4 separate regions of the Mus musculus genome follow, and regions 2, 3 and 4 are each reported to be linked to region 1. The links are microRNA targets in miRTarBase. Many come from high-throughput screens and were not tested one by one. Region 1 holds a microRNA gene; each other region holds the end of a gene's coding sequence.

What was found. Region 1 holds the annotated microRNA mmu-miR-190a-5p (UGAUAUGUUUGAUAUAUUAGGU, at 2,749-2,770, opposite strand). A microRNA usually pairs through its seed, bases 2 to 8, with sites in the 3' UTR of a target mRNA and lowers its output. Matches are read on the target gene's strand: a 7mer-m8 pairs with bases 2 to 8, a 7mer-A1 pairs with bases 2 to 7 and ends in A, and an 8mer does both.
Region 2: the mRNA of Stambp is a reported target of mmu-miR-190a-5p. Seed matches in the 3' UTR shown: 7mer-A1 at 617-623.
Region 3: miRTarBase lists Raver2 as a target of mmu-miR-190a-5p. The part of its 3' UTR that is shown has no 7-base or 8-base seed match.
Region 4: miRTarBase lists Plgrkt as a target of mmu-miR-190a-5p. Seed matches in the 3' UTR shown: 7mer-m8 at 910-916.

Annotation. Positions count from the first base shown.
Region 1 is chr9:67,233,952-67,241,073 of GRCm38, forward strand. Mir190a (microRNA 190a) reads right to left here and starts at 2,775; the gene lies at 2,709-2,775. It overlaps Tln2 (talin 2), which reads right to left. Exons shown (of 58, transcript NM_001081242.2): 53 at 6,729-6,853.
Region 2 is chr6:83,537,279-83,544,400 of GRCm38, reverse strand. Stambp (STAM binding protein) reads left to right here. Exons shown (of 10, transcript NM_024239.2): 10 at 365-1,195. The coding sequence ends at 421. The region is part of intron 2 of Gm38844 (a long non-coding RNA gene); the gene reads right to left. Among named protein-coding and RNA genes, the nearest start is that of Actg2, 4.6 kb to the right of the region's middle.
Region 3 is chr4:101,149,595-101,156,716 of GRCm38, forward strand. It overlaps Raver2 (ribonucleoprotein, PTB-binding 2), which reads left to right. Exons shown (of 12, transcript NM_183024.1): 12 at 738-2,776. The coding sequence ends at 884. It overlaps Jak1 (Janus kinase 1), which reads right to left. Exons shown (of 25, transcript NM_146145.2): 22 at 6,799-6,971; 23 at 5,422-5,539; 24 at 4,944-5,054; 25 at 2,380-3,996. The coding sequence ends at 3,901. Among named protein-coding and RNA genes, the nearest start is that of Gm24468, 34 kb to the right of the region's middle.
Region 4 is chr19:29,342,650-29,349,771 of GRCm38, reverse strand. Plgrkt (plasminogen receptor, C-terminal lysine transmembrane protein) reads left to right here. Exons shown (of 6, transcript NM_026362.2): 6 at 767-1,095. The coding sequence ends at 888. Gm52390 (a long non-coding RNA gene) reads right to left here. Exons shown (of 3, transcript XR_003952902.1): 3 at 1,520-2,453. Among named protein-coding and RNA genes, the nearest start is that of Rln1, 12 kb to the right of the region's middle.

The DNA.
Region 1 (7,122 bases):
ACATATGGAGGTTGCAGGCCAGCTTTCTCTCCTTCCACTGTGGGATCTGGGGATTGAATTCAACTTGCTAGGCTTGCAAAGCAAGCCACTTTTATCCACTGAGCTACCTCACCAGCCCAGACCAGACTTTTTGAGAGCTAAAAAGTACCATGACTCTTCTCCACGCAAGCAGCTACATGTACCAAAGAGCTATTCAAGCTGTTTCTCGCCCTTCCATCATTTCACATCTTGCCACCTTCTGTGTTAGTCTCTTACTGAATGGCCACTACTACAAGAAGGTCGCATTCAGAAGTCAGAAGTCCAGTGGAGTTTTTTAAAAGTGTAAATGTGTTATATGTAAGTTAAATGTCCTCAAGGGAAAAACGGGGGCCAATACCTAGGACTCCCACAACGTGCAGGAGGTCTTTTCCTGACAGTTGGATGCTTGAGTGGAACAGGTGGCCATGTTTTCCTTTCTTGTGCAGAACCTGGCTGCTCCTGCCTAGCTTCTGGTTTTGACTTGAGAGATGCTTTGGGGAGAAAGTCTTGGCCAAAGCATACCATGGCTACATCAACTTGTGCTCTGAAGGACCAGTGGGTTGGCTGGCTCTAAGACCTCCTTCATCCTTAATAAAGCTAACAAAAGGCAAATCTCCCAGAACAGCTGGTACCCTTCACAGAGGCCTGGTCTCAGGGGAAGCTCAGGGTGACACAGAGAAACCACTGCTGAGCAAGTCATGTTAGTAGCTGGATACGCACCACCTTCACATCCAGATAGATAATAAAGGAATAGGTTCATGTAGCATCCATTGGAAAAGCCCCAAGCCTGCACAGTTAGTATCTTGGGAATAGTTTTTCCCCATATAATACAATTGCTTTATTACATTTTTTGTAACTTATATTCAATATAAAAAGTAATACCACTGAGTTGATCTTATAATTAGTCTCTGATGAAAATAAATTCTTTAGAATTCTGTCATACTCTCAAAAAGGGGAAGAAGGGGTCACTTGGACCTTGATATAGGAAGTATGGACAATAGAAGCCTTTCCATTATTCAATGAGATACAGTTTGGTTCATCTTAGGAATCTCTGGTATGAGCCTTCTATGCATCTAAGGACCTAACAAGGTCCTGGTAGAGAACCACCTGGCAATACACTCTCTGCTTGTCTGGGACCAAGGTCTGGCATGTGAGCTCCAAGCCTGTAGCTTAGCCATGCAGAAAACATGTTTGCTTTCCCATGTCACAGAACACCTGTGTGCCCGTTCCCACTCCCACTCAGAATATGAATCAGCCACATGGGAATGCCAGACAGCAGCAGAGTTACCCCCCATCCCAAATCTCACCACTTCTGGCAAGTGTCTTCATCCGAAAGACCTTTTAGAGCGATGCTTAAAAAAACTACTCGTTCACCAATGGTGGCTTCTACATATTCCCAAGTTCCTTTTCTGACGACCCCCGTCAAACTACTCTCCTGCCCCTGTAGGGTAAGAGGTCTTGCTCATCCACAGTTAGGAGTGCCATCAAGAGTTGTTTCCTCCTAAGGTAAAACCAACAAGGCCTGGGAGCATAGCCATGCTATTTCCAGGAAAAGTACTTATATAGTCTCTGTGCTAGACAGCTCAGAGTAAACTCACATACAGTTCACGGACTCATTTATGGGAAGAAGTCAAAGCAGCCAGAGAGGCTGATATATACCCGAAAGAATGCTTTCTGGGTCATAGCCCAACTTCCTGCGGCAGCCAATTAGAGTATTTGTTTACTTTCGGACTGCCGGGTTCTTCTAAATATTAACAACCTCTGTGCAGAAGTTCACCTACAACAGAAAACTCAACCGACAGAGCACAGTCCCGAGCATGTTCTCTTCATCAGACATATCTGATCCAAATTAAGGTCTGCAATTAAGGTTTACGGGCTCACCATCCGTAAAGTGAGCACAGTCACCAGGGTTTAGATTTGTTACCAGAAGCGGAAAGTTAGAGATAATAAATGTCCCGATTTTTTTTTTGGCATGGAAAACAATTACAAAATTTAATCTGTGAGAGTGTGTTGAGAGTTGTCAGGAAGAAATATCTAGATCAATGTGTTTGCCAGTTACAATCCTAACCTTTGTCCTATATCAAAGACACGGGTTGTTATCTTCCATCTTTTTCCACTGAATACTTTTCTTAAGGACTCCTAATTGCATTCAACTAAACTTTAGAAAATATCTTAAGCCTTCAGGAGCTATACTCCCTTTCCACAACAAACAGATAATGTAGTAGTATTGATACAGTTTGTTGTGGTCTGAAACAAAGCATCCCCCATCCATAATAAGTTAGTGTGTCTGAACATTTGGTCTTCAGCTGGCAGTGCCATTTGGCTATGGAAGCTTTAGGAATTCACAAAGCCTTGCTGAAGGACATACTGGCCTTTGAGGTTTTATGGCCTGGCTCCATCTGCTGTCCTATCTCTCTACTTCCTGACTGCCGGCCTTCCCTCTTTGATGGTCTGGCCCCTGATAAACTAAGCCATAATACACCCTTTTGCCTTAAGTTGCTTTTGGTTGGGGCATCCTGTCACAGCAACAGAAAGGTAACTAAGACACAGGTCTTAAAGGCTACACGAAGAAATGGAATGAAACATAACAACATACGCACTCTGTCATCTAAACCTACTTGTGATTTTTTAATATATTTTTTCCTGTTGCTTCTAAACTTTGTTAGGACCCCCGGAGACAGGGCAAGACACTGTAGGAATATGCTTGATATATAGTTGGATTAAATAACAACCTAATATATCAAACATATCACACAGAGGCCTGCAGAAAAGGCATCCAGGTTTGACTGAGCTTGAGAATATGGCTGTGGGAGTCAGTCACCTCTGCAGTATCTCCCAGCCTGCCTTGGAACACAGGCGTGTCTGTAGGTGTGGCAAGGATGCCATTAGCAACAATGCTGGTGGCACACACTCTGAGCCTGGGCTCCTTTCCCCAAATGAAAAGGGAGTCTGTGCACCTGTCTGTCACTCACGTCTGAGAGATTACAGGTAAAGGGAGGTGCTTCCATGGTCAGGGCCCAAGGGTGGAACTACACCAGAACCATCTTCACATGCCACAGACTAGTCTCCTTTTAAAACAGGTAACCTGAGAACCAGGTAATCAAAACAGCTGGAAGTCATCACCCTCCCTCCCTCCCTCCCCAAACTAGTCCTCCAAGCAGCACAGGTGCTCTGCCTGGGTGGAGGATAACCTCATTCACGTGGTATGGGGGTGGGTGGCCACAGTCACTATGGCAAGTATGCAGGAGCAGCTGCCATTTATGGCACCCTGAGGATTTTTGTCTTTAAGGTTACAGGACAGGATGGAGAAAAGTAACCTCAAATATTAGCTGGTTTTGCTGTTTCGGTAATTTTTTTTCTTTTAAGCCGAGGAAAAGTTCTTTTGTAACTGTCAGGAGGATGTTATGCATTGTGCAAGAAGTTTCCCACGGTGGACGGCCCTCCTTGCAAGCCCGGGGCTACATGCTTTGGGATGATAAGCTGCTTTGAGACACTTTCATGGATAATGCCTAGCAGTGTACACATAAGGGGTCCACACAGGCCGCCTCCGGCAACCATCCCTCATTTTCTTTTCTTAAGATTTACTTATTTATTTTAAGTGAGTACACTGGCACTCTCTTCAGACACACCAGAAGAGGGCATCGGATCCCATCACAGATGGTTGTGAGCCACCATGTGGTTGTTGGGAATTGAACTCGGGACCTCTGGGAGAGCAGTCAGTGCTCTTAACCGCTGAGCCCTCTCTCCAGCCCCCCTCATTTTCAATGTGTGTGGTTTTCAAACATTGTTTTCCAGAACTGTAAAACACAGAGCCTGCCGTTCCCTGGTCCCATTTCAAGTCTTAGCTGTTCTTTGCTGATCATCTCCGTTAGTTCCCAGCTTTGTGACATAAGCACTAACCATGGATGCCTAGGTGTTATCATTTCTCCCCATTTTACTCATTCCATAAGCATCTTCACGCTGTACAGTCTGGCAACCATTACTCTTCATTACTGTAACAGCCTCATCATTTCCCTTCAAGAAGACCCCAACTTCTTACTGCTACCAACCAAGCTTCTAGAACATCCCTCTCACACAAGTCTGGGTTTTTTTCCTTAGGAAAGGAACTGGAGACAAGTCTAACAGCCTAAGACACTATAAAGTGCAGTGGTCCTGAGGGACGGGAATCATTTTCTCTGCCAATGGGGTATCAGAGGGAGTACAGTGTTCAGAAACTGGGACCCCAGCTCTATGTTCCCTCCCCACTCAATCACACGGTCTGACAGTGGTGAGGACCAGATAAAATACTTAGGAGACTGGTCTGGACCGTGTCTTGTATTTACGGTAGCCCTGTCGCCCGCCCTCTTACCCAACTAGGGATCCATGAAAGACCTTATCTTCCACACAAAGATGAAAAATGAAGGTGTCAGAAAGCATATGTCTGGTCATAGTGATGGTGACAGAGGTGATAGCATTACCATTTACTAGTCAGGCACCATGTTCTTACGTTATCGACTTATGCTATAAGAACAATCCTGCAGGATGAAGGAGATCCCAGTAAGTCTGTTTTCCAAATCAAGAATGTTGACGCAAATGAGCAACCAGTCAGAGAAAAACAGACAAGAGCTGAGGAGGACCCTAGAGAAGGACAGGGTGGAGGCCAGGGGATGCTGGAAAATAGTGGAATATGGGTGATACACGAGCAGCAGGCCCATTCACAGATTGCAGGTGTCAACTGACCAAAACACAGAGTCATCCCCTGTGAAAAGGCCTCTTGGGATAGACTAGACAAGCATAAGACACGCAGATTAAGCTGCAAACCTCACAACCTTTTATATATATATATATATTTTTTTTTTGGAAGGGGGGGGTTTGAGACAGGGTTTCTCTGTGTAGCCCTGGCTGTCCTGGAACTCACTTTGTAGACCAGGCTGACCTCGAACTCAGAAATCCGCCTGCCTCTGCCTCCCGAGTGCTGGGATCAAAGGCGTGCGCCACCACCGCCCGGCACAACCTTATTTTTAAGATTCACCTTTAAAGTATACTTCTCAAGTTCTATTAACTTGACTTGCAAAGCAGAAACAAAAACCTAACCCGAAAATGCAGTTGTCCCTGACCGGACTGTCAGATCTTAAACTCTGACAGTATCAGATGATCCAAGAGCCCCAGGGCACCAGGAACGAAACCCCAGCAAACACAAAAGTCAGAGGTCAAAAATCTCAAATTATGCCTTGATGAGGAAAATCTGAAATGTGCCTGCCATCAAGGCCAGTGCTTAGGAGATAGGTCTGAAGCCTTGACGACTTTAAGAAGCCTCCAGCCTTAACAGATTCATTAGCCTCCTGTCTGCTGCATACATGTCCTCAACACTGCCTTGGCACTGATTGTTGTATTTCAAACCTCCAGACACCATCTTTCAATTTGACAAAAATAGGTAGAAATTTAGGCAGACCTAAACTGGGGGTCTAACTTTTTTGGGGCGGGCATACAAATAGCCAAAGTTCCTTTCCCAATGTATGTGGGTCCCTGGGAGGTGAATATAGATACCCATAAAGACTTGCATAGGTAGGAAGAAAATGAAACCTCCTCCTTCTGACATCTTCCTAAAGGTGGCTGAAGTGTGGGGTAGGAACCGCAGCTGCTTACTAAGGCTGAGCCTGACCCTGAAGATGGGCCAGCTCCTACTGCCCCATAGAAAAGAATCTATCTTCTTGGCTACTTCTCTTATGAAAACTACACTAGCCAGCCACGGGCTCCTGTACACACTGAAACAGCCTAGTGCTGGGTTTCTCTTTGAGATGTGCATTATTCTCTATTTGTGTGTGGATGCACAGGTGGAAGCCAGAGGTCCATGCCAAGTATTTCCCTCAATTGCTTCTCTACGATACTTCCATATATATAACTTTGTGTGCACGTGTGTGTGTGTGTGTAGAGTATCCATGGAGTCAGAGAGGATGTGGGATTCCTTGAAGATGGTGTGTGTGTGTGTAGAGTATCCATGGAGTCAGAGAGGATGTGGGATTCCTTGAAGATGGTGTTACAGATGGTTGTGAACCAGCTGCTGTGGGCGCTAGGAATTGAACTTGGGTCCTCTGGAATGGCAAAAGCAAGTGCTCTTCACTGAGCCATCTTTCTACCCACTGCAAGCACCATATTGTTTTTGGTTGATTTTTTGTTGTTGTTGTTGTTGTTTTTGTTTTTTATTTCCTCAGAGCTGTAAAGGCGCACACTACCGCGTGTGCTTTTTATGTGGGTGCTGGGAAATCCATACTCGGGTCTTCGTGCTCGCCCCAGTAAGCAGTTTACTGACTGAGCCATTTTCCAGGCCTGTTGTTTCTAAGAAAACAAGATACCCAGCATTGTTCTTTCTGTATCAAAGGTGCAGTAGAAACTGATGAACTGAAGGCTGTCAGTCTCCTATCTACTAACAGGAGCCTTTGACAGAAACTATCCACAACTTGCTTTCCATGGTGGAATTCCATGTGGATGTCCTGTTTCTCCTCGGAATAACCAGAGGTACTCTTCTTGGCAGTTAACTAGACCCACTCACTGGTTTTCACCCGCCCCCCTCCCCCACTATGTAAAATGGTGCTGGGCAGGCAGACCGGGTGCGACTTCCTGGTGTAAGGATGGGGAGGGAGGAGAAACTCTGTGTACCCTGCTTAGCTCCACTGCACAGTCACCGCTGGATGCAGGACGCAGGGGATGAGCGGCCGCCAGTGAACACTGACCTTTGGCTTTGCTCTTGGCTTCAGCTGCTCTAACTTCTTGGCAGCGGCTTCAATGGATGCTGCAGCTCCCAGTAACTCAGTTTCTGCAATGACGGTTGGGTCTTCTGGATCCACCCACTCTGTTCCTAAAATCAGTTCCAGGAGAGTCATTCTTGGTAGGTGTAGACATGAAGGTACTGGCGTAATCGCAAACACAAGCTAAAAAGGCATTCTGGCTATGATGGCCCTATGAGCCTATTCTCTCAGCCCTATCTAGATCTCCACCATCTGGATGGAGGGATAAGGGGTGCTAATATGTTTTTCTAAACCAGCTACATGTGTATAGCCCTATCCATAGGAATGCCAGCAACACTAGCTTCAAGATTCCATGGGTTGAGACTTGAGTCTCACTCTG
Region 2 (7,122 bases), not on the chromosome of region 1:
CTGTCAGGGTACATACTCAAATGTAAAGATTCAGAGCAAAAATCCACAAATAAAGAGAATATTTGGCGTTTGTCTTTCTGTATCTGAGTGGGCATTTTAAATGAGAGGTTTGGAGATGTAGCTCAGCTGGTTGAGGGCTTTCTTCACAAGCCCCAGACTGTGGCTCCAATCCCCAGCCCTAATGACCGGAGTAGTACATACTTACAATACCAACACTCAGAGGTGGCACCAGAAAGATGGAGGCCACCTGGGCTACCTAGGGAATTTGAAGCCAGCCATAGACCTAGGCTCAAATAAATATTTTTTTAAATGACTCTAAAGGATTTTCCACAACTTCATTGCTTCTCCTTTTTCTCTGTTTCAGGACTGCAGCCATGTCACTGTCAAGGACAGAATTGTGACGATCACAGACCTTCGATAAATCTCAAATCATGAACCAGGGAGATGGATCACTGGGTAACAGCACTTGTCACCAAGCCCAACAGCCCAGGCTCAGTTCTTGGGACCCACATGGTAGAAGGAGTGTACCGACATTCCCCCAAGTTGTCCTCTAACCTCCACATGTGTGCTGTGGTATGTGTGTTCTCACGTGTGTGTGCACATACACACACACACGCATATCAATTAATTTAAAAAGCGAATAAATGTAAATTATAAAAAGAGTCCTACCCCCCTCTTAAGCTGCATATCCCGTTCAGTTTATTGCCCCCATGGAGTTGAGTAAGCTTTTAAGACAGGATAGGAAAGGGTCAACACTAAGGGGAGACTGTTGTTGTTGTTGTTGTTGTTGTTGTTGTTGTTTTTCCTTAATTTGAAATCATCTTATTTTTTAAGACAAATGTGAAAATGACCAAATCACACCAAGCAACTAACTCAAAAATTAGGATGCAAGAGAAAATACTTCTCTAGATCCAAACACTGGCCTTCTGTTCCTCTTGAAATTTACCTCCCAACTTGTTCATCTCTGCCTTTGGACTAAATAGGGGCATCTGTGCAAAACTGTAGAAGCCATTTTGAAGGATTTGGCTTTTTATTGTTTGTGGCATTAATAAGGGAGCTTACCATTCTGGTGGGATGTGCATGAGGCGTTCACAGCCCCCATACATGGATCTTGTTTAAAGTGTATTATTTAAAAGGTCAGGGTGTTATTTTCTTCTATAATAAAACAGCTCACTTGTGTTGTGCTCCAGAGTGATTTGTCTGACCGAGCATCATCACACAAACACTTGAGTCTGATTGCGGCCAAATGGGATGGTGTGTGCCACACTGAACTGTGTTCCACTTCACTTATAATTAGTCAGTGTGCCTGCCTGCCTGCCTGCTGCCTCCTCCACAGGCAGGAAGTCTTCTCTCGTTTTGCTGTTGTCTCAAAGTGTGTCTTCCCACTTTCTCCTTAAGCCTGACAACCTTCAGCCCAGGCACTGAAGCATTTCAGAGTTCCTGGTTACATCCAAGTCAATGGTGTGGTTGCCGAGTCACCCACCCTGCTAAGTCCACTGTGCTGGCTTTTTCTTGAGAAATGCTTAGGCTGGGGTGGGAACATGAGTGGCAAACTAAAGGTCACCTAGAGATCTGTGGCACTAACATGAGAGAAGAGTGGATATAGCAGAATTTGTTTTTCTAACATGCATATGTACATGTGTGCTCATATGTCTTATGTGCACTGTGTACTTACAGGTGCCTGCAAAGCCAAAAGGGACTTTGGTTTCTTTAGAACTGGAGTTACAAGCAGTTGTGAGGTGCCATGAAGGATGCTGGGAACAGAACCCAGGTCTTCTACAGAAGCAGAAAGTGTTCTTAATAGCTAAACCATCTCTCTAGCCTCCCAAATTGATACTCTCACTCTTACCAACAATGCTGCCTTCCTAAATATATGTGAACATATGCATTCAGAAAAGGATGAATTCATATCAAAGGGTAGGATTATGAGATTTCATTCCCCCTCTGTTTTAAATGTTTCCCAACTAGAGAGAACATATACTGCATTGTAACTGGACAAAAAGGACAGTATCTCTTATCCAGAAACCAAAACTCCACTGCCCCCTCGATGTGGGAACCCAGCCAAGACCTGCTTCCCGGGCAGGCTCAGTGAGGGGGCTTTGGTAATGCTCTTGGGCAAAGCTCAGACACATGTCATATATGGAAACTTTCCATAAGGCTGACCTCACCGCTGGAACTTGTTCAACATAAACCTTGCCTTCAAGAGCGAGCAGAAATCTTTGGACAAAGCCTAGTGGGTGGATAGCTGAGAACAGCCTAGGAAATGAATTGCTGTTGTTATGCCTGAAGTCTCGACCACAGTTCTGGGCCCTCCAGATTGCTCAGTCCCCTGTGAAAGACTGCTTTCTACAAAGTCACCCTCCTCCAGAGAAGAGCTGCTGCAACAGTCTTCCGTTGTTTCTGCCTTCTGGGCTTGGAAAACACGGGCGAGCGTTGCTTAAGGTGAACACCACAATGGTTACTGGTGGGTGGTGGAAGTGGAACCATCTCCCACACAAAAGGAAGCACAGCCATTCTTAGATCCTCCTCTGCCTGTTCCCTGGCATTATAGCTTTGCAACCCCTTTGCATCCCTATCGTCACCTCATTTTGCCTTTTAAACAAGTGAATGGTTCTGGGCACAGTGATCCTATAATCCCCACGCTGTGGAGGCTGAGGCAGGAGGCTCAGCCAAGCTTCTCAGTGAAACCTTTTTAAGAAATGTTAATGGAATTGCACCAAAGCAAACCTTTATCCCAGTGTGCTCTGTGCCACCCACGCATTAGCCATGCTGCCACCATGGTCATCCCTCAGCCCTGTATCCAGAGCATCTCAGACTCAGTACAGCCTTTACCCATTTCCCAAGACTTGGAAGAGCTTTAATTGATTCATGGTAAACCCAGGATATGGTCATACAGTATTTTCAATCCCAGTGGCACCATGGCTTTGAAAGCACACCATCTTAATAACTATAACACGAGGCTTTAGCTAACCACAGAGAAAGGAATTTTATATTGGCTCAAATTATTCTCATTGCACTGACAGAAAATCTGATCGGTGTTCAGACATACCTGGATCCAGTGTCCATTTCCTTGGTTCAGGACTAGTCATTTGAGTTATTCCATTAAAGTAATGTAGACAGCTATAGTTTAATAGCCTACTGTCCTGATAAATCTAGTTGAAAATGATTTCTGGGTTTCAACACAACTCCTGGAATTGTTGGATCATGACTTTGGCCACAACTCATCCTGGGACCAGTCACTGTGGGCCAGAAGGATGGAAGGTTCTGATTGGTCAGGCTTGGGTTGCAAGCCTATATTCCATCCAACCTGCATGCTTTGAGATCCAAACAATACCATGGTAGTATTAGAAGCAGGAGTGGATGCTGGTCCAGGGGAGGCAGCAGATGTCTGAAACAGATGCCGTGTATGAGGAGAACCTAAGGCCATGGGCAGTAGTACCAATAGTGTGAGCTAAGCATATTTAATAGTAGTATCCAGTGCTGTGGTAACAGCAGCTGGACTAGGGGGTACTGACATGCTCCATGAAACATGTCATACATCCAGACCATGACTCATTCATTTAAGGGTGCCTACTATGTGCACAGCACTGTTTGAAATATGAAGAAAAAAATTACTATAACCTCTGACCTCCAGAAGCAGATGTGGAGAAAGGAGCTATGTTCCTGTGACAGCACAAGGCCAATATCACTATTACAAATGTACACAGGACAGTGACTGAGAGACCCAAGAGAGGATCCTCTCTGCTATTTATATTCCTCCTTCCATTTATTCAGCAAAATTTTACCATGCACATACTAAACACCAAGGCAGTTTTCAAGGAGGCCAGAAAAGGACACCAGAACCTCTGGAGCTGGAGTTACAGGGGCTGCAATTGGTCTGCTGTGGGTGCCGGGAAGTGAATGTTGGTCCTCTGTAAGAGCAGCAAGGGTTTTGAACTATTGAGCCATCTCTCCAGCCCTGGGTCTTACTTTTCTTACACTTGGATAAAAAAAAGAACTCTTAGTTAGGCAAAACAACCTTTAAAAAGTCAAATGGCGAAGCTGTGAGAGAGAAACGGCTACAGAGGATCTCCTAAAAGCCAGCGTTTGCAGGGTATTTTCCACTGGCTTAAAAATACTCCAGGGAGGCAGATGCTGCAGAGCATCCATCAGGCAGCACCACAGAGCCTGTCTGCTTCTGTCTGTCTGAGCTCTCAGTGGGAACAGCTAACGTTTCCTTCTGTCTCCCTGTCTCTCTGTCAGCCTCCCTCCCCCTCCCCCTTCCCAGTCCCCTCCTTCTCCCCCTTCCACTCCCCCTCCCTCCCTCTCTCTCTTTCTGATACTGTTCCAAACAACCCTTGAGCATCATGTCCCTGGTGCTCTGGCTTTCTCATTCTTGCTCTGAAGCCCACCCATCCCTTCCTCCAGGCTACTGCACGTATCCCACACTTGTGTACATGCAAGCCCACAGTATCCTGCCTGGAATGTCACACACACACACACACACACACACACACACACACCCCTAAATAAACCTAAAAACAAACTTTAAAGACAAAAACCATAGAGTAAGTGTGGGGCATGGCGGTATGTACACATCTGCAATCCCAGCACCAAGGAGGCAGAGGCAGAAGGACAAAGGCGTTAATGCCCATCCTTGGCTGCATAGTTAAGTTTGAGGCCAACCCGGGTCACATGACCCTATTTCAAGAAATCACCACCACTGTTGTCAATAACAACACAATAATGATGATGATGATGACCCCAGTACTATTGTCACCAAAAAGAAAGATAGAAAAAAAATTATATCAGAGCTTCCAGGTATGACGGAGTTCATACACTAAACCAGTGACGGACATCCAGGTGTCTCAGCTGGGTTTACTGTACAGGTGATTATGACATACCTCATATAGCTCATCTACTGTGGAGAAGTGATGTGGTTCACACTTAAATATGTGTGTGACTGTTTGCCTATATGTTATGTCTGTGTACCACATTTGTACTCGGTGTCTACAGAGGCTACAAGATGGTACTGGAGCCCCTGCAACTGGAGTTGTTGGTTATAAGCTGTCATGTTGGTCCTGGGTCCAACCAGGGTCCCCTGCAATAGTAAGTGCTCTTAATCACTGAGCCATCTCTCCAGCCCACAGTTTATTATGCTTTTTAAAAAAACTACTGAATCCATTTGTCTTCGTGCTTGATTTCTTCATCTCTTTCCCTCCACATTCAACTAAATTATACTTTGCAATGATTTATATATCCCAGATCTGTTTGAAATCTTCTCTGGAAGTTCTCTAGAGCCTGGCTCTAACAAAGTCTGTGTGTGTGTGTGTGTGTGTGTGTGTGTGTGTGTGTGTGTGTGTGTATGTATACATTAAAAAAAATTAAAAACAAAAATAAAACCGGTCTCATATTTGCAGTAAGTTTTCAAATGAAAAGTGTTGTAGTTTAAATGATCCCCCGCAGACTTGGGTATTTGAACCATTGGTCCCAGTTGGTGGCACTATTTGGGAAGGTTATGGAACCTGCAGGAGGCTGGAGCCAGGCTGTGAGTGTTACAGTCTTTCCCAGCAACCTACTTGCTCTCTGCATTGTGCCTATGGTTGAGAGTGAGAGTTCTCTTACCATGCCTGTCGCTTGCTGCTGCCTCTCCCTGCCATGATAAGCCCAAATAAACCCTTCTTTCTATATGTTATTAAATAGTGATATCTTATCACAGCAACAGAAAAGTAACTAATACAAAAGTGAATCTGAAATTATTTGCATTGTGTTGTGAGAATCTCATCCTTGCGACATCACAAGTGACCACGCCAAGAGTTCTTGGCAAATACCAGGTTCTCTTAGCGCTAGGAAAGGAACCGTGTTCAGGCTCCAGGGTGCTAGACTGACCCCGAAGAGGTAGATTCTTGGTTTCCTCATTACTGTGTGACTTCCATAAGAGACTGCAGCTCCTCTGGCCTCAAAGTCTACAACTTTTTTTTTAAGTTAGTAATGCCAAGATTAAATATGATTACATAGGGCTCAGCTCAGTGTGAAGAGGGGCTTCGTACATCAAGACTTCAACCTGAGTTCCACTGAACCCATGGGAAGAAAGAATGAACCCACAGTTGTCCTATGACCTCCACCCATGCACTATGACACACAGACCCACTTACACACATCATAAGCACACATTCAAATTCACACAATAATAAAAAATTTAAGTAGATGACTGTATAGACAGAGGGTTATGTGGTCATGTTGACACAACATCTTCTCATCGCTGACCCTCCCAGGAGGACCAACTGGAAGCCTTTTACTGAAGGAGTTCTAAATGGACTAGATGTCCCCTGGAGCTGGGAATGATAAGAATGCCCAAACCCAACCACCTGTCCTGTACCCATTTGACAAAGCCACTAGCCAGAAAGACATCCACATTCTCCTCTCTCTGCCCAGGTGAGCAGAGAGCACGTCCATGGAGCTGGGCCTGGCACCCAGACTAGAATAAAGCATTATGGCTGCTGTAAATCTCCCAGACTACCCTCTTGGGGCCCTCCTTTATCATTCCTCCCCTTCTCACAGAAAAGGGAGCAATTTCCCTTGTTCACATACCCTATACTGTTCTCGTAAGATCAAGAACCTCTCTCCATTTTCTCCACAGCCTGGTGGAGTTCTGTTGAGGGTCATTTTCCAGAGCCTGTTGTCTACAGCTGGGGGGAGAATAGTGATCATTTCACATCTGCCCCTGTGCTCCGTAAGTAGGATTTAATCCTGTTGTTTAAACCTGTATCCTTGTTTTTCTCCTCCCTTGTTCTCTCCATTACTGAAAACGTTATTAAAGAAAAACCTCTAAATAAGATGTAGGGTGTGCGGATACCCATGCCTGCCTGTAATCCCAGTACTCAGAAGACCAGCTGGGGCTACAAAGCAAGGCCTTGTTTTACTTTGACACTTATTTGTGTGCTCATGTGTGAGCTCATATTTCTTTAATTAAAATATAATTACATCATTTCCTCCTTCCCTTTCTTCTCTCCAATCCTTACCTTGCACCCTTCTGACATTTTTATAAATTGTCTCTACCTTTGTAACTGCTTCTTATCTTAAAACTGTTATGTGTAGGTTGGCCTAGAATTCATGGAACAGTGACCAGGTGCCTGGGGAGAG
Region 3 (7,122 bases), not on the chromosome of region 1:
TGGGAGGACAAATGCAACCTATGACGCAACCTTTTTAAGGGTTTAAAGACACCGAATGTGAGAACTCTCCAGTGTTAGAAAGCTGACCTCCCTCCCCATCAGCTGTTCTCACATTGTGTATCTGGGCTGTTATAATGGCCTCAGCAAGCACCTCACACTTATTTGTAGGGAAAGGTCACGTGCTAGGCTGCAGGATATCATTGTACTGATTAATGTGGCCTGTTATGGGGAACATTAGATCAGACTCTCGGGAAGGGAGCCTGGAAATCTGATTATTTGGGGCCCCAAAGTTTTGAGATGACCATTACTGTTGGTAGTGCTGTCATTTTCCCTGACACCACTCTGACAAGTTCTTGCACACAGTCAATGGGCATACTTAACACGACTCCCCACTTGCTAGCCTGCATCCTCCATCAGAGCCAGATGCTTGGTACTGCTCTTCTGCCTCAGGTGTGAATAGGACCAGTTTCCTCCTCCCACATCCCAGAACTGAGGTGAGGGCTCAGGTTCTAGGTGGGACTGACTGGTGCTGGGGTGGAGTGCAGGGCCAGAGGCTGCTCTTCAACTGAACCATACCAGGCTCTCCACGGGTGACTTTATAGAGACTTGAAAGTCTAATTCCTGCAACAAAGGTGGTTTTCTATTTCTTCTCGGTTTTGGGATTCTGGGATTCTGTCCTCACACCAACTGAGGATAGCATGCTTTTCTCACGGACATCTTCACTGACTTTCTCACAGGCATCCTCCTTGAGGAATGAGAAGCGAGGCTCCTCCTATCTCATCTCTGCCCCAGAAGGAGGCCCGGTAGAACTCGCTGGCCAGCACCCTCAGGACACCGGAGTGAGCTACACAGAAACCTACTTGAAAAAGAAGCGTGTGTACTAAGCTCCGGGTCTCCTGCCCGCCTGCTGCGGCGCGGCGCCTGCTGCTCATCGCTGCCTTAACTTCATTCACACTAGCCATATCCTTTCTATACGGGTGTCTGACTTCCCAGAAGGAACTGTCATGCAGCAGGCAGATCAGCCAAATACCCACCTAGCAATAAGAAACACCACTGGTCGAGGGCATTTCCACTAGCATTAGATGTGTCTTAATCCACGTGATAAGGACTCCGCTCACAGGAGAGTCAGCATTCCAATAGTCCTTGTTTCGGGCCTGGGAACAATTTTGACATCATATATAAAGTCTGAAGCAATAACTGGGAAACTGTTGTTTCCTTAGCCTTAGAATGAATTTCGTATAAGCCAATGTGCATTTACCTTACTCTCCCCTAAAAATAGTCTCATCTGTAGTCTTTCCTCAAACTGCAAGGGTGGCAGTACCACCCAGTGGTGACAACAGATGCTCATCATGCAGCCTCCATTAGCTCTACAAAGCCACATAAGACCAACCCAGTGGCAGAGTGAAAGTGATGTGACTTCAGATGCTTCACTTCCGGAGTATCATTTACCATATACACCTTTTGCGGAAAACAAAGTATTTCAGGAAAAGTAACTTTTGTACATAATACAAGGGTTAGCAGAATACACACTAGGGCCACATGTAGTCCACCACCTAGCTTTGTGCTGCCTGTGAATCAAGTGAGGACATTTCTAAACGTCTGGGGGTAGGGGAGGACTTACAACATGAAACTGCAGTTTCAATGTCCCCAAGATGATGTTGGGAACACAGTGAGGCTTGCTCATTTACATATTATGTAGTTACTTTTGTGTCACAATGGGAACTGAGTAGCCTCGAGAACCACAGAGCCTGCAATGGCAGGGGCGTTTACTCTCTTGCCCTTAGTCTGTCTCCCTATTCTTTTTATCTTATGGGAGATGTGCATAGCAAGGAGCCAGGGTTTCCCTGCCGTCTCATAGCATACAGCAGTGAAGGTCTCGTCCCTAGACAGGGCCGAGCCCCAGCAGAGCAGTGCACACAGCCCTTCCTGAGGGAGGCCGTGGACAGCGTGGGGCAGTTCTGAGCTAACAGGCTCTACCTCACTCTGGTTATTTACTCACTCTTTGGTAGTTGTTAAGCTGAAAGGAAATGGCCGCTTAATCCAATTCACTTCTGAAAGAACACTTGTCTTTATTTGTCTGACTTTTGACTTCACCCTTTGCCGAAGATCTTGGTATTAAGTGAGCAACCTTTTTCCATCTAGAAATTTCTATGTGTTCATTGTTAAGAGACTACAACTGATGAAGTGTAGGATCTCAATGATCCTAGATCAGATCATTAAAAAACCTTATTTGGAGGACTTATCATTTTTGACTGATAATGCTCTCCAGCATTAATTATAAAATCTAAAACTGGTACATATGTTACATGTTTTATAATGAATTTTACCTGGCCTAATTTATTGCATATACCAGCTTTCATTGAAAAAATGACAGCTAAAAAATGAAAGGAAGACCGTCCTAGACACGCTTCCTATAGGTGATGACCAGCACGAGGTCCCAGCAGATGACTAATGGTGTGCTCTGACCCTGCACCTCCTGCCTCTGGCTGCAGCTCTAAGTCACAGAATAGTGGAGGCTAGAGACTGCTATCTGGGAGCTGCAGTGTGAGGAGGAAGCAGTGGAGGGAACTTAGAGACACTTCACATTCCATGTGGGTCCTCCACTATGCCAGCCTGTGCCCGTTATTACAAGACAGAAATGCAAATCAAGTGATGTTAGTACAAGGTCATTACAACCAACCCCCCAAAGTCTACGCTGTTAGTTTTCTGTGTCAGCTAATGGTTTGAAATGCTTTTCAAGATGCAAGCTTAATATTAAAAGGCATATGCATGTGAAGTCTTTAGTATGTTTATTGTATAAAGAGTAAACAAAGTGCATATAGAGCGAGACACAGGTTTGACGTAAACAGGGGCTATGGTGATATACAGCAACTAAACCAATTTAAATGGCAACTGTACTGTTGCTACTAAACTGATATTGAATTCTTTGGGAAAAGGGCTCAAAAGGTGAAAAAATATCAAACAAGTATTAAACAGCATTAATGAGTTTGCCAGACTCTTGGTCATGAGTAACTCTGCGGTTCACATTGAATCTAAAGTGAAAGCTGTTGATTACCCAGCTACCTCCAAGTCAACCAACAACAACTACCTAGTGAATTCTGAACTTCAGCCCGCTGGGCCAAGCTGTCTTCCTTTCTGTAGTTTCGCAGTATAGGGTGATGTCTCCTGTTTACGCCACTGTCGGCAGCTTGCCCCAGGGGATCGTCAGGAAGGAGTATGCACTGACAATCTTAAAGGTGGATGTGACCGCATCCAGGTCAGAGGAGTCTGCCTGACAGAAAGCAGCTGTTCAGGAAAACACAGGCACACAGGTCTAGTTCTCAAGAAGTAACATGCAGAGTGTGTATGCCAGGCTCCCTCCTGCAGCACAGGTTTGCCCCACAGTGGGTACCAGTGCTTAAAACTTCAGTCCTAAAAGGTAGCAGGAACAGACCTTTTTTTTTTTTTTTTTAATAGAAACAATAGTATACTAAGTGGTATCTACGTGCTTGTACTATCACTGAATAGACATTGAGATTTCAGGGCAAGGGAGAGTGTCAGCCAAGTCCACAAGTTTTTATCTGAGATCAATATGCCAGCGGCACAGTCCTTTGCTATGCAGCTGATCATTCGGTTGTTCCAGAAGGAGTGCTTAGGCACAATCTAGTCTTTTGGTTGTCACTATTCATCACCAAATTTAAGATGTTACACCTTTAAAGAGAAAGTTCCACACACTGAGTGACAGTGTGACATAGGCATATCCACACACTGAGTGACAGTGTGACATATGCATATGTGTAACTCGAGTATTTGTTGAGGAACTTTAGAGGCAGAATACAAACTTTTCACTTAAAAAACGTTTTTAAATGGCTTGGGAGAGAAGGATTTGATAAATGGGAATTTAAATGTTGTTCATGCTTCTTATTTTAAAAGTGCTTCAAATCCTTCAATAAGGTTCTGAAAAGTTGTCCGGTTAGATGGTTGGAATTCCCAGCATTTTCTCATAAGCTGATAAACCTATGAAAAATAAAAGCAAGAACAGTATGAATAATATCAGATTTGAGAGATTCTAAAAGAACAATAAGAGGCTGGAAAGTTGGCTTGGTGGATCACGTACTTGCCCCACGAGTGTAACTTAAAGTTCAGAGCATGACACACAGTTTAAAGGCGAGGCGTGGGTAGCAGCTGTAAGGCAGACTGGCCAGCCTCGCAAAGCCAGAGGGACTAACTCCAGGGAGACCCTGCCTCAGCAAACAAAGCCGGGGCAACCAAGCAGACACATCCCTCAGTCTCTGGCATCCATAAGCATCCACACATTCAAAAACACAAAATTATCAAGAATACGCTAGAAACTGCTGTCCTTTAACAAGACTAAACAACTGAGTATTTGAGCAACTTAAAATGCAGAAAATAATAGTTCATAAATGGTATTATCATTTGTTTAACTCACAGGTTAACTGATTTTCAACAAAATCCAGGTCACTATTGTGACCCTGTGAGAGGGGCAGGAAAGTTACTAATCTGCCTACCCCCTTCACCACCACTGCACCTGCCTCTGACCAGACAGTCCTGAGTATCTATGGAGGCTTGATCCAGTTTAGAATCTAGAAAACTGAAAATGCTAGTGAGTGGGGTAAATGTCTTCAGGCAATGGTAAGACCTCATCACATGTGCTCTTCTGGGAAGGCAGACATGCACGGTATGGAGGCCACAGCTCCCTGAGAGGAGCCTTGCTTGAGCAGCATATCATCCCCCGCAGGAGGGATTTCTCTCATGTCTTACCCAAGTGGATGCTGTAAATGGAACCTAGGACCTCAGAAAGAATAGCGAGTACTCTTAAGCAAGAGCCAACACTGTAGCCAGTGTAAGGCCTTCGGTTCTGTTATTCCCCTCCCATGCTGGATAAGGCAAGCTGTAAAGACATTCAAAATGCAGTTCCCTTCCCATGAAGGGGACACAGCTACCTCATCAGGACAGTTGGGTGGACATGGCAGACGCTTTCCTTCTTTCAGAGTATTCACAAGCCGTGTCACTGTCATCTGGCCATGAGTTGGGCCTATCATTTTCAGGAACAACTATGTAAAATAAAACCAAACAAAATTAAGGTGATGCTTTCAGAAGTAAGAAGAAATTAAAGCAACAAAGCTTTTCTCTTCCATAACTTCAAATGAAAATCTAAAACCCTTATTTGCGCTCTCAAGGATTGGTCCATAACAGCACATCTGAGGGGACCAACCACAGCTGTCAGTCGTATGAAAACAAAACCCCTACGGCAATGCTCAAAGTGTATCATTCTCTCTTGTGATGACCCTCACCCTAAAAACCTGAGTCGTCTTACTGAATTCTGCACTTGTGAAGGCAAACTTTGCCAGACCATGTGAGATAGCATGCTGTAACCCTCTCCATGTGGCACACTGACAAGAGGTAGCAGTTAACACTTACGGCCATGGGACTAAAATCTGAGTCACAGTAAGTGAGCAGCTCGTGCAGTGTCACTCCAAAAGACCAGACATCAGAGGCGATATAAAATTTACACTGGATTAAACATTCCGGAGCGTACCTGAAAGGAAAGCAGGGAGTGAGCCTTTTGTTCCTCCCAAAAAAAAAAAAAAAGAGTGCCTCAGGAAAGCCACTTCCCTGTTCTTGAGAATGTAAGTCACGTGCCTCTGAGGGACTCTGGCCATTCATGCTGCCACAGTGCACACAGCACACGGGACAGCAGTCCAGAGGCTCACAGCAACATCTTACTTGCCCTTAAACGAGATATCTGTGTTCCTCGTGTCCCAGGGAACATTCTTTTAGAGAGGGGACAGTCCCCTGAAGATGAGCCCCAAGTTATATCCCTGTAAGCCAGGAGTCAGCACCCTCTCTGGCATCACTATTTTGGTGAGTGATGCCCAAATGCCCATACCAGGTGTCTAGGCATCCCAGAACTGGTTTCCTGAACACTCCTCAGACAAATCCACTTCCTACTGTCCCAACCTGTCCTTCCTGGGCTACTGAAGCAGCTGACCCCGATTCCCTTGTTCCTTTCTTGTTCCTCTCCATGGTGACCTTCAGTACAGACTTTGTGTCCTTCAACTCTGGTCAAGTCCTGATGCTCTGACTCAGCCACCCCTACAGCACTTCCCAATGACACACGTGCTTTCAGTTCCCTCTTATCTCTGTCAGCAGAACAGCAGAGCTCCAGCCATGCCCCCTTCCCTTCAGCTTTTACCCAATCACACACAGCCTTTCAAACCCATGCCTGAAGCCTGTGCCACTGCCACACTAAGTTGGCTGCCTCACCCATAATTCAGGATTCACTGGCACAATCAAGGGCCTCAAAACCACTCCGTTTTTAAACGAGGAAGGAAGACTCTGGATAGGCTTTGCTGGTGGAGAGGGCCCCATGTCTGCATGAGAGGCATCAGGGTACACAGGCAGCTTTCCCCAGGAAGGTGTTCCCAACTGAGAGACAATGATGGTCAGGGCGTGGCTCGCTAACTACGGTAACTAGTGGTTCCTAAAACCTAGCCAAGTATCTATCCCTCTTGCAGGATCTCCACGACTATGGCAATGTGTACCTGTGGCCCTGCGATCCCTCCAGGGCTTCTACACGGATGTATTAAGAACGAGCCAGCCTCTTCCACCTGCTCACAGCTATGAGAACTGTGGTGGGTGTGGCTTGCTCACATGAAGCTACAGAGGCTGAAGTGATGATGGCCAGACTCTCCCATTCTCCAAAAGCTCAGAGCAGCTGATACGCACCCAAGCACAGCTTCAAGAGCCTTCAAGACAATGCTAAGCTACAAAGCACGGCCGAGCTGGTTTACATACCAGAACACTGGGCTGTCCCGGTCGTCCTTGACTGTGTAGTACTCCTTATCGGTTTCAATTGCTTTGGTTAAACCAAAGTCTCCGATCTTCACTTGATGCTCACTCTCAACAAGGACATTTCTTGCTGCTAAGTCCCGGTGAACGTATTGCCGAGAACCCAAGTAGTCCATCCCCTAAGAGAAAAGTGTGGCTCAGGCCCATTGCGAAGGTAAATGTGCTGTTGATAACCCACAGTCCTTCCCCTAAGAGCAGTAGGTCAGACCCACTGAAAAAGTCACTTCAGGTTGTGTTTTTTTTATCTTCCACAGCACAATTAGGAAAAAA
Region 4 (7,122 bases), not on the chromosome of region 1:
TAGGTATAAGCCTACAGACTGATAATTAAATTATAATAAACACTAAATTTCGTTTAAAACAAAAAAGCATTAAATACGCAGAACTCATCTGTTTTAAATTATTTTTCTATTCGGTATAATCATAAATTACTTGTATCAATTGTATCTGCATTATGCAAATGTAGACGCAGCATACAGATGCGACAAAAAACCAGCATCACTCATTGGTGGCTTGTGATTGGTCAGGTGAGGAGTATTTACATTGTGGAAACTGGCGACATGCCAAGTCAAGGATTAACCTTGTCCTTCTGCTGATCATCTGGGCCAGGGATTGGAAAACGCTGACATTTTAAACCTTTGGGAAAGAATTCTAATGACTTCTATAAGTATTCTTCCTTTTGCAGACAACTTATTCATTTTTAGTGTCAATTCTCAGTTGTTTGTGTGTGTGTGGTATATTGGTCAGATCAAGGTAATTATAGTGATCGCCTCATGTATTTATCTTTTCTTTTGTGTACTATTTCTGAGACACAGTCTCCCTGTGTGGCCTAGGCTGACCTTGAACTCATGATCGTCTTGTCTTTCCTCCTGAGTGATAGAATATAAGCATGTAATGTGCTTCCCCTGAGTGGTGTATTCCTTCTCCTGAGTCAGATGGGTGCTCAACTCTGAGATTTAAGGTCATGGATCCAGTCCCCACCGTGTGTCCCTGGATCAGCAACCAGGTCCTCTTAGGGAACCCTTAGGACGTCTTCATCAGCTTACCTGTGTCTGCATTTTACTTAAGGTGAAGCTGAGGACATATTGGAAACAGAAAAGACGAAGCTGGAGCTGCCAAAAGGACTGATCACCTTTGAAAGCCTTGAGAAAGCCAGAAGGGAGCAGAGTAAACTCTTCTCAGACAAATGAAGTCACAGTTATCCTCAGAGCACATATCGTGTCTCAAAAGCACAAAGTTGTTGGCTTGAATCATGGTGTTTACAGTTTTTTAAATGATCAAGATTTTGATATGATGCATTTTTATTTTAGAATATTAAAATTCAAAATGAATTTGTTGAACTATTTTAAAATAAAATTTCTAACACTCCACCAAATCATGGCAGTATTCTAAACAGCATTCAAATTTCTCGTGTGTATGTGTGTTTTATAAATATCCAAGGGCAAAATTAATAAATTGTGTTGTTCTGAATTTGACCCCAATGTCCTGCTGCTTGAGGTCCTGTGAGACAGACTGTCCTCGGTATTCAGTGCTCCCAGGCATCTGCTGTTGTGTCCTGTCTCACACAAAAGAAGAGCGACCAGTACACCGTGAACTACAACGTTTGGAGGAGGGGGAGGGGGAGGGGAGGAGGGGGAGGAAGAGCCGATGAAGTTGAGAGATATAAATGGGGGTCAGTAGGGAGTGTGAGGAGGGAAATGGGTTGATTTTATTTCATTGTATACATATATGATAGCCTTAAACAACCAATCAACCAATTGATGATAGATAGATAAATAGATAGATAGATAGATGGATAGATAGATAGATAGATAGATAGATAGATAGATAGATAGATAGATAGATAGAAGAAATTATAGAGGAAAGAGATGGTGATTTCATCTGATGGATCCAGGCACAATGGAATATACCATAATATCAACAAATCAGGAGGCTAGGGCAGGAAGTTCTTAAGTTTGAAACTAGGCTGAGCAGTGTAACAAGATTCTGTCACAGACACACACACACACAATCTCATAATACTAGTGTGTTATTGGTGTCCAAAATGGTTCATCAAGAGTTTTAAATTTAGAATTATTCTGCTATGTGAGCTTTCGAACACCAGTGTTCAGCAGGTATAACTTCAAAGCTGTGTCGCTAAAGACCTTACAGAACATTTAGCCGCTGTGCAACCCACCCAGGCCCGTGGCGCTCTATGACTGTCAGACCCTTCCTGCTGGCTCCTGGTCTTGAGGTAGAGTTCATTAATAACTCACATTCAAACAGCTACTCCTATAAGAGTCTTCTCCATGTACAGAGAGACAAAACCCAAAGCCGGTCTAAACAACTGCCTTTAAGCACAGCTATGTTAAAACCTGGTTCAAATGGCCTTAGACTTGATTATTCAAAACTTCCCTTTTTCCTATTACACTATCCTTTTACTGAATTGACAAACATTTCATCTGTAACTCTTCATTATCTTAGTCATTTATGTTAATTAAATATTTAGTGCATCTTAATTACAACTTTTATTAAATTCCCAATACTGAATCAGTTACAGTCTCTTAGCTAGCTTATTATTACAGCCTTTTGTGTGGCTTCAAGAAAAATGAGGTAATAAAACATGAGAGAGCATGAAAGGCGAGAGAAAGCTGAAGTTGCTTTATGAACAAACATTTAGAGACTCACGGAAACCACACTCGATGGTTCTGCCAATGGTCGGAGACAAAGTTGGGGTGGGACACTTAGCAGGTGGCTTTCCACTTCCGGAGACATGCTGGCAGAGTAAGGCAAAAATATGTAGTGAGTTCAAGACCAACCTGGATGACATGAGACTCTCACAAAACCAAAACCAAAAAGTACGTGGGTTAGAAGAGAATAGACAAGGGACAGAGTCAGACTGTCAAAATTGGGCTGGGCAAGGAGTTTGGTGATAGAGTACTTGGCTACTGTGTATGGGGCCCAGGGTTCAATTCCTAGCCTGGAAAGACACACACACACACACAGAGGAGTCAGACAGATATAGAGACAAACTTCATATGATATCATATATAGTACATATGTGTATTCACTCACAGACGTCAAATTTCAAAACCTCTGCAACCGATACGATTCAAATGTCAGCCATCTAGTTGACATGTTGTATAGATTTCAACAATTCCAACACATGAATATCCAAATGTGAATGGGTATTCTAGTCACTCTCACCAGAACACAGGTTTTTTTTTTTTCTTTTCTGTTCTGCCATTCTGAGAAAGGAGTAGGCTCTTGCTGAGAAATCCTTATTAAATACAGACTGTTTCTCAAACATTGTGGTGTTTCCTGCCCTTGGGGGGTGGGGAGGAAAGTGTCTATTCTGTAAGAGGATTGGAAATGTTCCTTTGGCTTTAGCCTTGTGGGTACCCGCAGGAGACTTCAGGAAGACAGTGCACACTACCAAAGTGTAGAAAGCAGTGTCTGGCACTTTCAGTATCTCCACTGATATATATATATATATATATTTTTTTTTTCAAATACCTACTTTGGTTAGCCTAGTGACTGTTGAAGGCTAGAGCAGTTCCTGGGTTATATACAGGCAGAACACAAGGCCCAGAAATGTGTGTACATGGACAATCTGAGAGGTCTAAAAGTCAAGAAGAGGGCTGAGGGGGAGCTGTGAGGGGAGGGGCTCACTCGAATGCTTCCATTAGTCGACAGGCCATGCATAGCTGCCAGGGACCATAGTGGGATTCTCTCACAAGCCAGTTCGTTTTTATAAGCTAAGAGAGTGTGGTCTCTTCTGACGCACACACACATACATGTATCCCCACTGCCGTGACTTTGTTGTTCTAAGCATAAACACCACCTAAATAGCAGAACTGTACGTACTTCCAAAAATCTGAATGTTTTTACATCAGATTTCCATCAGTATGAGACAACATCTAAATCAGTGGTTCTCAACTTTCCCAATGCTGCAACCCTTGAATACAGTTTCTCATGTCGTGGTGACCCCCAGCCATAGAATTATTTTGTTGCTATTTCATAACTGCAACTTTGCTACTGTTATGAATCATAAGGTAAATATTTGATGTGCAGGATATCTGATATATGACCTCTATGAAAAGGTCATTCGACCTCCCTCCCAGGGGTCATGACCCACAGGTTGAGAAACACTGGTCTAAGATCAAAGAAGAACATCAAAGTTTTTCTATTATAAATTTTCTGCTGGATTCTGCTATTGTAATTAAGCATCGAACGCCGCCAGAAGTCTTAGATGCTGACTCAGCGCTGTCTGCCACATTCACTCCCTTTCTGTTTAGACGCATAAGGCAGGGATAACTTCAGTTAGAACAGCTTTCTCTGAGCACTTTTGGTACCCATTACTGGAATTGCTTCAGTTACTATTCACTGCATAACCTCCATTCTTCTGTGTCATTTTTTTGTTCTTATTTTTTAATGAGAGACCTGTTCTGGCCAAGTCTCCTTTAAATAAAATAGCTCATGCATTGTGATTCCACTTATGAAATCTTTGGCAACACTAACCTCAGTTGACCATAACAGCATTTTCCTGGAAAGTTCAGCACTGACTAGAAAGAATCATGAGGGGAAATAGAACTGACTGTGTCATGACAAAGATACGGCGTACACCAGTGTCCTCATTTGTCAAACTGCATGCCTAATATTTGTGCATTTCAAGGTGTATTATCTAAAATTATAATAACTATCACCATAATTTCCATTGTTATAATTGGATGAGTTGGAGACTATAGTGTGTGTGGTGTGTGTGTGTGTGTGTGTGGTTTGTGTGTGGAGTGTGGGGTGTGTGTGTATATATATATATATATATGTATATGTATATATATATATATATATATATATATATATGGGGGGTGGGGTGTGTGTAGTGTGGGGTGTGTGTGTATGTGTGTGTGGTGTGTGTGTGGGGTGTGGGGGTGTAGTGTGGGGGTGTGTATGTGTGTGTATGTGGTGGGGGGGTGTAGTGTGGGGTGTGTGTATGTGTGTGGGGTGGGGTATGTGCAGTGTGGAATGTGTGTGTGTGTGTGTGGTGTGTGTGTATATGTGTGTGTGGTGTGTATATGGGGGTGGGGTGTGTATAGTGTGTGGTGTGTGTGTGTGTGTGTGTGTGTGTGTGTGTGTGTATGCTGTACTGTGTGTGTATATGCCTGTATGGAGAGAGAGAGAGGAAATTGTAGATACAGATGAAATAAGAATGGTAGAACACTAGTCATGGAAAACCAGTACGTGGGTGTTCTTTATGTGACATATATATTTTATATGTAATTAATTAATAATCTTTATAATTAATAATCTTTAAAAACTAAGGTATTTCCTAAATCTGATTTGCAAACTTGATTTTTCTAGACTTCTGAAATTTCTTGCATTAGAAAACATAAATAACAAAAGCATAATGTTGAGTGAAAAAAACCAAAATATTCAGAGGGGTTCATTCAACATGGCAATGAGATTCTTGAAACACAACCTGGGTCAAGGAGGTGATGTTACCAAGATGATGGAGTGGGAGGTAGAAATCTTCATCCTCCACCCCCAGGGGAAAAAAGCCAGTTATTTATTTAAAAAAAAAAACACCCTTGAGAAGGTCCACTAAAATTCTGCAATACAGTGGAGAAGAATAAGATGGAGCATCTATGTCAATAGGCCAGTTGATGCTCGTCTGAGACACCCGGATGGCTAGGAACAAAAAGGAAAGGCTAGACGCTCTGTAGCATTAGCGGTATACTGTGAGCTGTAAGGTGGAATCACTGTGTTCCCAAGAAGCTTGCTCACCAAAGAATGCCACAGAATACTCAGCAGCTGTTCCTTCCTGGAAACCACAGAGACCTGACTGTATGTTCCCCACCTCTCCCAGCCTTTTTTACCCTGACCCCCACCCACGCTGCTCCAGAAATGCCCGCATTCTAGATCTATGCTCTTTGGCTATATTGCCTGGCTCACATCTCAGACACCAGACTTACTCTTTGCTAACTTGTACTTGGACCCCCAGTGTGAACATTCTAAGCCTTGGATGCTAAGGATCTCTGCAAGGTGGCCAGCACTGAACTCACCATCTGTCAGGTGACAGAAAACCTAAATAAGAAACAAGGAAGTTGAATTACACTTCCTTGCACACCGACCTAACATTTCCTCTGTCATCTGCTGAATACACACTCGTAACAACTGTTCAAGGGACCTTCTGCATGGTGGAGCATGGGTTAAGTCTCGGAACACAGCATTAAAATTTTCAGAAGATTAAAGTCATATCAAATATCCTTTCTGAGCACAGTAGTTGGAGCTAGAAAATAGTATGATGAGTCATGGAAAATTAACAAACCTGTAGAAATTAAACAATATGTTCCCAACTGACAATTATATCTGAAAAAAATTTTAAAATGTTAAAGATTTAAATAAAAATACAATGTTCCAAAATTTATTGGTGGTCACAAAAGTTTTTACAAGAGAGAAGTTTGTCATGGTATGTACTCACTGAGAAGTGGATATTAGCCTCAAATTTCGGAATGTCCAAGGTTCAATTCACAGACCATATGAAGCCTAAGAAGAAGGATGGATGCTTCAGTGCTTTTTAGTAGGGTGAGCAAAATATGGAGACAAAGTGTGAAGCAGAGACTGAAGGAAAGACCATCCAGAGACTGCCCTACCTGGGCATCCATCCCATATACAGCCACCAAACCAGGACGCTATTGTGAATGCCAACAAGTGCTTGCTGATGGATGCCTGATATGGCTGTCTCCTGAGAGGCTCTGCCAGAGCCTGACAAGTACAGAGGAAGAAGCTCGCAACCAACCATTGGACTGAACTAAGGGGGGTCCCTGATGGAGGAGTTGGAGAAGGAACTAAAGGAGCTAAGGGGGCTTGCAGCCCCATGGAGGGAGCAACAGTGTCAACTGGCCAGACCCCCTGGAACTTCCGGGAACTGGACCACCAACCAAAGAGTACACATGGAGGGACCCATGGCACTGGCCACATATGTGGCAGAAGATGGCCTTGTTGGACATCAGTGGGAGGAGAGGCCCTCGGGCCTGAGGGTGTTCAATGTCCCAGTGGGAATGTAGGGGGGAGGGGGGAGTGGGGGGGGAGCACCCTCATAGAGGCAGGGGCTTGGAGATATGATAGGGGGTTTCCAAAGAGGATACCTGGAAAGAGGAAAACATTTGATATGTAAATAAAGAAAATATCGGGGGGGGGAGAGAGAGAGAAGAAGGAGTAGAAGAAGGAAGAGGAGGAGGAGGAAGAGGAGGAGGAGGAGCAGGAGGAGCAGGAGGAGCAGGAGGAGGGTAGGTTGTAGTGGTCGTCATTTTGAATCATCTTCTAATTGAGTCACTTTGCTGGAGGGAGTGGTTCCCTACTTGGGTTATGGAGGTGACGAAACCCCCACCCACTGGTGGTGAGCACTTAAGAGGGTCGAATGGGAGTGGCAGGTGTGAAAAGAT